Drosophila melanogaster: one gene and its partner. The gene in region 1 interacts genetically with each later gene. Each region holds a gene or a part of one and is shown on either strand. Other genes may lie near its edges.

What was found. A genetic interaction does not mean that the proteins touch.
Region 2: of Arr2 (region 1) and lace, changing one suppresses a phenotype caused by changing the other (phenotypic suppression), as found in Drosophila melanogaster (one study listed by BioGRID).

The regions. Positions count from the first base shown.
Region 1 is NT_037436.4:8,646,724-8,651,401, forward strand, and holds Arr2 (arrestin 2), read right to left. Parts: upstream 2,214-4,678; 5' UTR 2,103-2,213; coding exon 1,247-2,102; intron 1,180-1,246; coding exon 985-1,179; intron 923-984; coding exon 768-922; 3' UTR 538-767; downstream 1-537. Other genes in the region: Pex7 (peroxin 7), read left to right, coding at 2,824-2,915, 2,984-3,736, 3,819-3,993. UniProt on the Drosophila melanogaster protein: Regulates photoreceptor cell deactivation. Arr1 and Arr2 proteins are mediators of rhodopsin inactivation and are essential for the termination of the phototransduction cascade.
Region 2 is NT_033779.5:15,496,598-15,501,275, reverse strand, and holds the start of lace (lace), read right to left. Parts: upstream 2,150-4,678; 5' UTR 2,056-2,149; coding exon 1,852-2,055; intron 1-1,851.

The DNA of each region.
Region 1 (4,678 bases):
TGGCAAATAAAATGCGAGAAAATTGTAAAATAGAAAAAACCAAAAAAAAGAGGAAAATCAGCTAGACTGACGGGGATGAGACCTAGAATCAAACTGCTGGCAGCTGGCGGCCTTAGCCATCATCAAGGTCAAAAGCTTGGGCTATTTAGCATACACAAAAATTGTGTATTTTGGCAAACGCATTGTCAACATCTGGAGCTTGGAACTTCCGTTGACCGTTAGAGCCGGCCATATCCAGTTCTGGTTGATCCTGATTGGTGGAACACATATCCTGGCAGCCTGTTGCTTCTTGCAAGGGGTTGAAAGCCTACGATGTGACCTATAAGCATTGGGCTTTTCAACCCCCTGTCATCGTTGAAAAATCACCCTTAGAATTCCTGCCAGCAGATCCTTCGTCGTCGAGCTGCGCAGTTGTTTAGATCATTCGACTTCTGAAGTTGAAACCCACAGCACCGCCAAGAACAATCCACTACCAAAAACCGAATCCTTACCGAATCACTTTTGGATACTACATCGCAAACGAGAGAAAAGGTGAGTGCTTTTGATAGCCATAACACATTTATAATATAGCGACACGAGGTCTGTTCAACTCATCAACATGCATATGTACGGGTACAAACTCCAGATCCACCAAAGTTACATTATAGATACGATTATAATACAAAGATTGTGGCCTCCACGAGAGACTGCTGCAACAAATTTTCAGTGCTTTCGATTTAGTTCAATTCGGTTCACAACAGAGCTAGAAGAGATTGAAGATCGGTGGCCTAGTCCGCCATGTTCACATTGTTCATGCGCATCTTGGCGAAGTCCTCGAATACAATATTATCGTCATCATCCTGGTAATAGCCCTTCACATTGCGGTGCTGCTCGATGGACTTCATTTTCTTCATGGCATTCGAGCGCTTCTTCTCAATGGTTCCTATACCACATCAAAGGAATTACAAACTAGAAGTCAAGTTCAAGTAATCTTCTAAAGCTTACCAGGTGCCGGTTGGAGTAGCTTGAAGGGCACATCCGTCTGCATTTCACCTCCCAGAGTGCCGCAGTTGAGCTTAATGCGCACCGAGTACGAGATGACAATACCACAGGCATCTCCCGTGGACTTGCCCTCCTGCACCATGGTGGATGAAGCCAGGTTGACATCCTCGTCCTTCAAGTGACCATCCAGGGCGATACCTGAGTTCACAATTAAATAATCCATTAGAAACTATCCAGAATCACAACTATCACATCCAAATCCTACCATGGCGATCCTTGTTGTTAGCCGCCAGCGGAATCAAGTAGAAGGTCTTGGTGAGATTGGCGCCCGGAGTGATGGGGCAGCCCTCCTTGGTCTCCAGCTGGGCCACATGCTTGCTGAACTGGGCGTTCACCATGGTGATCTCAGTGTGCTGCACAATGAAGCACTTGATGCTCTTCACGGACTTCTTGGAGTTGTTCGACACCTGGACGGTGGCAGCCGTCTTCTCGCCATGATAGTAGATCTCCCTGTCCAGCGTAACCTCCAGACTGATCTTGCCATTCGAGAAGGTGAATCCCTTGCTGACCAGCGAGCTGGGCAGACGCTGGCCACGATTGAGGGGAGCGTACTGCAGCTTCTTGATCACCAGACTGACCATGCTCCGCTTGTGCTGGCGATCGTCCTCGGAGTCGCCCACAAATGCCCGGATGGTGTACTCGACGCCCAGGGGCTTGCCATTGTCGTCGCCCTCCTGCTGCAGAGTAACGGAGCTGGGCGAATTGGGCGGGAAGTGGAAGGTGAACGGATAGGCGTTGCTGCCCAGTTTGCGGACCAGCTTCTCCTGCATCGGTGTCATCTCCATGTTGGGATTGGTCATGGGCACAATTTGCTCCCGGCACAGGATAAGCTCCTTGGAGAACTTCACTCCCATGACCTCGTCCTCCTCGCGACCATAGCGATAGGTGGTGGCCAGTTGGCCAAAGACTTTCCTGTTCTTTAGATAGTCCGGTTCCACCACAATCACTCCATCGACGGGATCACAGTAGTCGATGTGGTCGATGAAGTCGCGGCGTCCCAGATAAAAGGTGACCTTGCCGTTGGGCGTGGCCTTCTTAAAGACCTTCACGGATACAACCATTGTGGATTAGTGGATTTCTTTGATTCCTGGCAAATGCAACTGGGCAATTCGAGGCTAAGTCGGGCGATGCGCGTTATAGAGTTTTCCGTTCGGCGGAGGAAAATGCGAAACCCAAGTGCCGTACAACCTGCTTATATACCTTTGCCCTGGCCCTGTCCGTGGGTCTTCATTCTGGCCACTAACTGGATTTGCTCGTTATGCACTTGTTTGTTGGCTTGTCCAACACGACAATAAGATAGAACCATAGGAACTAAGGGAAAACTGCAAACAAGCTGCTTCCAGGGGTTGTTCTATTTTCTGCGCAGTTTGCCACTTGCCCGAGCAAATTGGCTAATGTCAAGTATCTTTTTCCGATTTTCCGACCTAGTACGAGGTCATTTGGCCAACTGTTGAATAATTGAGCATGGTAGGTTGGAGCTGGATTAGCATCCGATTTGGTGTTACCGGGTTGTTATCAATCGGCCAGTTTTGTTCTCTCTTAGCCAAACATCAGTGGGCAGCAAGGAGAAACCTTAGATGTTTTTAATTTTGTTATGTATCAAACGTCGATATATTGATTTTAATGTGAGAGGTATAATTGAAATTGGCATTTCTTACAACTAGCTTACCAAAGGTCGCAATTCATTGTAGTTAATGTTAGATAATATTTAAGGTCCAGAGAAATTGGTATTATTTTGAATCTCTCCTTTTTTTTTCTTTGCAGTTGAGATCTAGAACCAAGATGCAGACACAGACACACACCACCACAGACCGACATGGCTATAGCCTGCGCTTTTCGCCTTTCGAGGCTAACTACTTGCTGCTAGCTACAAGGTGAGATCAATCTTAAGCTCTAAAACCAACAATATACTAATAGAAAACCATTTTTTTTCGATACCCAGCCAACTGTACGGTCTTGCTGGAGGTGGTTCCCTCTTTCTGCTGGAACAGAACTCCAACACAAATTCCTCATCCACAGATGGCCAGAGTCTCGGAGAGCTGTGCCGCCTAGAGTGGTCCGATGGATTGTTCGACGTCGCCTGGTGTCCGTATGCCGCCGATATCGCCGCCACTGCCTCCGGAGATGGATCGCTTCAGATCTGGTGCGGATTGGATGGCGAATCGGCGAGCAACCAGCTGACGCCGAAACAGCCGCTGATCTGCCTGCAGGAGCACAAGAACGAGGTGTACAGCCTGGACTGGGGCGAGAAGTGGAACTACCACACGCTGCTCTCGGGCAGCTGGGATTGTACACTGAAATTGTGGGACTGCAACAGACAGAACTCCATCACCACATTTGTGGGCCACAACGATCTGATCTACGGGGCCAAGTTCTCGCCCCTGATCGCCAATCTGTTTGCAAGCGTAAGTACCGATGGACATCTTAACTTATGGAACTCTCTTGACTTTGCAGGTAAACCCCTGATGAGCATCGAGGCGCATGCGAGTGAGGCACTATGCTGCGACTGGTCGCACTTCGATCGCAATGTCCTGGTCACTGGAGGTTCGGACGGTCTGATCCGCGGCTGGGATCTGCGCAAGATGAGGACGCACGTCTTTGAGCTGTACTCTGGAGAATTCGCTGTCCGGCGATTGGCCTGTTCACCGCACTCGGCAGCGGTCTTGGCATCGGCCAATTATGATTTTACCACAAGGTAAGTGGAATGATCTTAGGCTTTCAAAAAACAGGACATTTTTATGGTTAGTAACAACTGTCCACTTTTGTCACCTTTTTAGGATTTGGAATCTGGAGCGTGGTGAGTCCGCCCAGGAGGTCAATGCGCGGCACACGGAGTTCGTGTGCGGATTGGATTGGAATCCCCACAGGACCCATCAGTTGGCCGACTGTGGCTGGGACTCGTTGGCCAACGTTTATACCCCGCAGTGTCTGAGCGGTGATCTGGTCGTCTAGGTTAGTACAGGGCATGCCCAAAACTGGAAACTGGAACTGGTACTCCCTAAATACCGAAAACACATGTGATAAGGCGCTAGTGGCGTCGAAATAGCCAGGCCTACAAGCGGTGCACCGTTATTACGATAGCTGAGCTATATGCAATGCCTATAAGGAACTGTAAGGAACCGAAGACAAGGACTCATCGGCGCAACGATGACGTGTAAATAGCTGTGTGATAAACGCTGAACGGGCTAAAACCTCAAGCAGGTGCTTCAAAATGTCAATAAAAGCTTACATATATCACGAGTATTATATGAATTATATGGGTTTTCTGCGCTGCTCTGTATGTTATTATGGCCTTCGCAATAAGTTTCTTGGCCCCTGGCTATAATTTGCACTCGGCCCTTGTCTTAACAAGAATTTAACGGATCACGGAATTGGAGTTCGAATTGGTTAGGTGGCAAAGAGCCAGCCAGACGCTGACGGAGATTGACTTGGCATCCTTATCCGGTTGGCTTAACTCTGACCAAACAAACACGCAATAAAGCGCTAATTTGCTGCAACGTTTTATTGCCCGAGTGGAGCCGAAATCCCTGTCATTCCCGGAATTGACACAGCCAACAAGGTGGATATTGCCCAAAGGTGTGCCAGCCATCGCACCTTTTCGGCATGGCATGGTGTGAAATGGCAGCAGTTGCTCCCT
Region 2 (4,678 bases), on another chromosome or scaffold:
GGAGTCCCAGTGTTAGGGTATATAGACGAGCTCGAAGCTACCGTAGAAAGATCAAAATCGAAACCGACATAAATAAATAAATAGAAAAAGTGTAATACTAATTACGCTATGGGTCGCGTACAGAAGGACAGCTAAGTAGGGAGCATGGTGTGGGATCCAGATAATGACTTCCATATGTTGGGGATCCATGGAGTCCAAGATAACGACTGACAATCGACCAGCGCACGCCAAGTTCTAACCGATTTTGTGGGGATTCCAAGAAGTATTAGCTGTGAGTCAGTAGATAATTGCTTTGGCAATTTCATATTCTTAAGTATTTCTTTTTTATTTAAGCCTTTACCTTTGAAATCATGCATACTGTAATCTTGCCGAGCTGATAAAAGTTTTCTATCCGTTGATATTGGAGATATGAGACTTGCACGCGCTAACATTATTTTCGTGTGATTAAAAATTTGAAAAGGTCTTTAGTTGCCATTAAATCAAGCTGAATGATTTCAATAAGTTGTCGCCATGGTACGGAACTATTTCATTAAATAAATTTTATGTAAACCATTGTATTACTTTCCGAAAAAAAGAAATACAAAGCTACCAATAATGAAATCTTTAGGTACTTAAAAGAAAACTAACAATTGCTCACTCCCCAAAGATCGAATTGTATCGGAATTACCCAATGAATGTAATGTTATAATATGTTTATCTTATCTTTTTAAAAAGTTATGAATAATAAAAAATATGATAATCGGTTAAGTATACCCGCCAACAGTTATTCTTTGGCAGCCCAGACGCAGGGAGAGTCCATGAATTTTAAAACAAAACTCTTATCACCGACAAATCAACGCCCACCCAAAACCGCTGCCTTCGGAGATTGCGGAGCATTGTGATTCACCAGCGAATCGCATTCTGCGAGGCTTTACGTAAAAGACTGGTGGAATGGGCCTGATAAGGCGAGCCGGGCATGGCGTGGCATGACAATATTATGACCAGACCAGCATTGTGCCGCTCTCCCCACACACATTGTGCACCCAAACTACGTACTTATGTGTGTGTTTGCTTTGGGGTCGTACTCCAGTCACTAGGAAAATTTCGAATGAGTGCAGGAGTGCCGAAGAAGAGACAATGGCTAGATTAGAGAGTGCATGTGGTAAAATGGACTAGCGTACCAAACAGTTTAACGCACATCTAAAATAGGTATTATGAAATTTCTGAAATCTAAGTTACTTTAACATGCTGATGTTCTTATCTTAGGGCTTAGTCAATTGTAAGATAGCTATCTCAGAGGAATGTATAGACTACTTAAAATTATAATAATGAAAGTGAAATAATATTGCCCAATACTTTAATTTCCAACACTACAAATTGCCTTTCATGATCACAATTTATGAAATAACTCTCTGATCGTATATGATGATAGGATATTTCCGCAGAGTTCTAATAGTTTCTATCATCCGGAAGTAGCCAAAATACGCCAAATGGTCAGCACTCGCGGCGAAAAGGAAAACACGCGAGGAAAACACTGCAGTGGAGGGAAAACAGCTGTGGCTGCCCGATGACCCAGAAGCGGGAAAAGCGGAGGAAAATCGCCAAAAAGGGCAGCAAAAATTGGGCCGAAATTCTCCAGCTGACGCACGCCTTCACTCTCACTCTCTCTCCCTCTCTCTTATGCGCGCTCCCTCGCTCTCACACAAAATCAATAATTCGCCGGCTGGAAGAGCGAGCGAGAGGGTGAATGGAACCAGCTATGGAACCACATTTTTGGCCAATTTTTATGGCCTTTTAGCTCGTTATTTTCGTTTCGTCCAAGTGTTTAACTCGCGTTTCACCCCGCACACTGAGCGAAAATGCCTGGCTCACCTGGGCGTCGTTTGCGGGCTTCGGCTGGCAGCGTCGCGTGCGAATTTCAGTGTACGCGGGTGCCGAGAACTTCCGGAGAAGTTCCTGTTTTTCCGGGGCACTGAGATCTGCCGCCCCATTGCCATTCGGCACCTTTCCGTTTCCGTTGGTCGTCGCATAGCTCTGCTCGAAAACCGTTCCAGAATCGCCGTCGAAATTGCCCATTATTCCGTTGCCGATTTCCGATTACTCAGCGGACAAAAAATTACGGAGAGATCGATGCGTTTTGCTTAAATAGGTTTCTTTCTAATTGGAATGGTGTGGCCAGTTACTCGGCCAGCTGTTATACTGAAAACTGCGCGCCTTCGGTATTTTAAGGTACTTATCGTATTTTCACATATAATTTAAAAGGCCACATTTTGTGGAATAACGCTTCCGGTTGTGTTCTCTGCTTTTAGTACTGCCAGCTCCTAGCGAATACCTCCACCATGCAAGCAGTTCAAGCCACAGTGCTGTTTAGTATACTTTCTGAGCGCCAGATGTCGCAAAAGAGAAGTAGATTTTTGTATTAATTAGATTTTCAAAGAAATTTATTTAAACTAAAATGGTTTCTATTTTAGTCACATAGGGGTTCAACTTAAATTATTTGACAGCAATTTAATGAAAATATATAAATTTATATATGATACGAGGGTTCAACAATGTATCATTTAAGTGGGAGATAAGCTAAAAAAAATAATGTTTTATATTCCATTACATATTAGAAACCACAAGTTTTCAGACTTAACACGTCAAGCATTTTCCCCTTGAGCATTAAAATCGGTCCAAAACTTACGCAAAGAAAAATTCCGCCTCGCCGGCAATAATAAATTAGATTAAAATGCACAAAGAAAAGGAGGAAAACAGAATTTCAGGCAACAGATATTCAGATAAAAGTGCGTAAAGCGGCAATTGTAGTAAAATTCATGAGCTGCGAAGTGCGTTGACTCTTTGCCGCAAGGAGACACGTCTCGGGCAGTGGATTTCGCCTCATAAATAGATCATCTCCATACCGCAGGCTTTTGTTTTTCTTCACATTTTATTGCGGAAGAATTTCGACTATTTTGTAAATTAATCTGCTGTGGCCGGCCGATGACACTTTTCAAGGATTTTCAGAGCCCATTTCAAAATCAAAACATTGAACTCGCATTTCAGTTTCGTTTTCAGTATGCGCCGCATCCCAACTGTGGGTAAACAACATGAAAACGACGCTAAGGCTTCTAATTGAGTTGGAAGCTTTTGTGGCAGATGTAGCCTCTGCAAAATGCCAACACGTTCCCCGGCAAAAGCTGCACCGATCGCTACATCGATATGCAAATGATTGCCAAATTGTCGTAGCCGGAGATGCCAAAAATTTGAAACCCAATCTGAGTCCAAGTCACCAAAGTGGGTGCTACTGTCAGGGCTGAAGCCCTTTGAGCCGCAGGCCCAGAAAGCGGGTCACGTCGGGTTTTCATCCAGCGATTGCCGATCGACGCCAGCGGCACCCTGAAGGCAAAAGTTTCCGCCGATGCCAGAGGGAAAATCACATACCCTTTTCGAGAAGGTTTCATTTATTTCTCAAAGCACTTAATCAAGGATGAGGATATTCTAAAATATAGCATATATTATTACTTGGTCTATTTTAGTAACATGTAAATATTGTATAATAAATTAAATAGGATTTTTATATTCCACTTGACAATCTCATGACATTGAAAGTATATAATGTAAAGTTGAAAATTTCATGAATTTGTTGACTTCGATCATTATTACTTATTTCTATATTTTGCACTTCTATGCCAAGTTAATCCCTAAAACGGAGAAAAATGCATTGTATCTCAAAGCTAGCCAATTTCTGTCAAAGATTCTTAATGCTTATCTCGATGATCTGATGGTGCAAATCGCTTTTGAATGCCACAAACCGTGTTTCTGTCTGCAATTTCGGTCCGCTAACTGCGATTTCGGTTGTCTGTGTATTTTTGGTGTTGCTGCTAGTTGTCGATTGCCGGTTGTTGTTGGTTGCATGTTGGCGGTTTTGCACTTTGGCTGGTTCGCTTATCGAGTGCGGAGTTCAAGTACAATGGCAGTTGAGTCGTTTTTCGGTCCTGACAAATATTTGGCAATTGTGTAATCAAATTACCGGATCAAATCTGACTTGCCGCCTTTGCTGGGAAATTCACCAGCAAAATGGTATCATATTGCTAATTAGTCACCAACGTAAATGAAGTGACTTGTAATTTAAAATTTTCTGTATACCATTTCTACCAAACAATATTTAGTAGTAAGATTAATAATTAAGACCGAAATCTCTGCGAACTTATGAGCACTAATCCAGATATAAATATCCTTGGCAAGCCCTTAGTAATAACTTGTTGTGGCCCCTTTGTATACAATTAGTTATAGTATTCGCTCTCGTTCCATCAGCAGCATACTTGTAGCTCTTGGCCCGCTTTGCATAATTACGACTTGGCTGGCTTAATAAACAAGAAAAGTTCACAATTTCCATCGGGCGACGCAGGCGTTGCTCTAACAAGCATAAAAAACGCATTTGCATTTCCACATGCATTTGTGCGTGCGTGGGTGTTGCAGTTGCCGTTGTTGCTGCTGCCGCAGCCGATGAATCACGCGTGATATTTCGCAGTTGCAGTCTGTGAACTATTGTCTACCTCTGCTGCCGTATTATACTCTTATTTATCTGCCCCAACCCGAAGTACTCCCCCCGGGCCAATAAAATGGACTTTGTACTCCGCCAACGGGTTGACATTTTCATTATGGAAACTCTTTTATTTTTCCTTATTGTGTGGACATGTTTTCTCGCTCTGCCTCC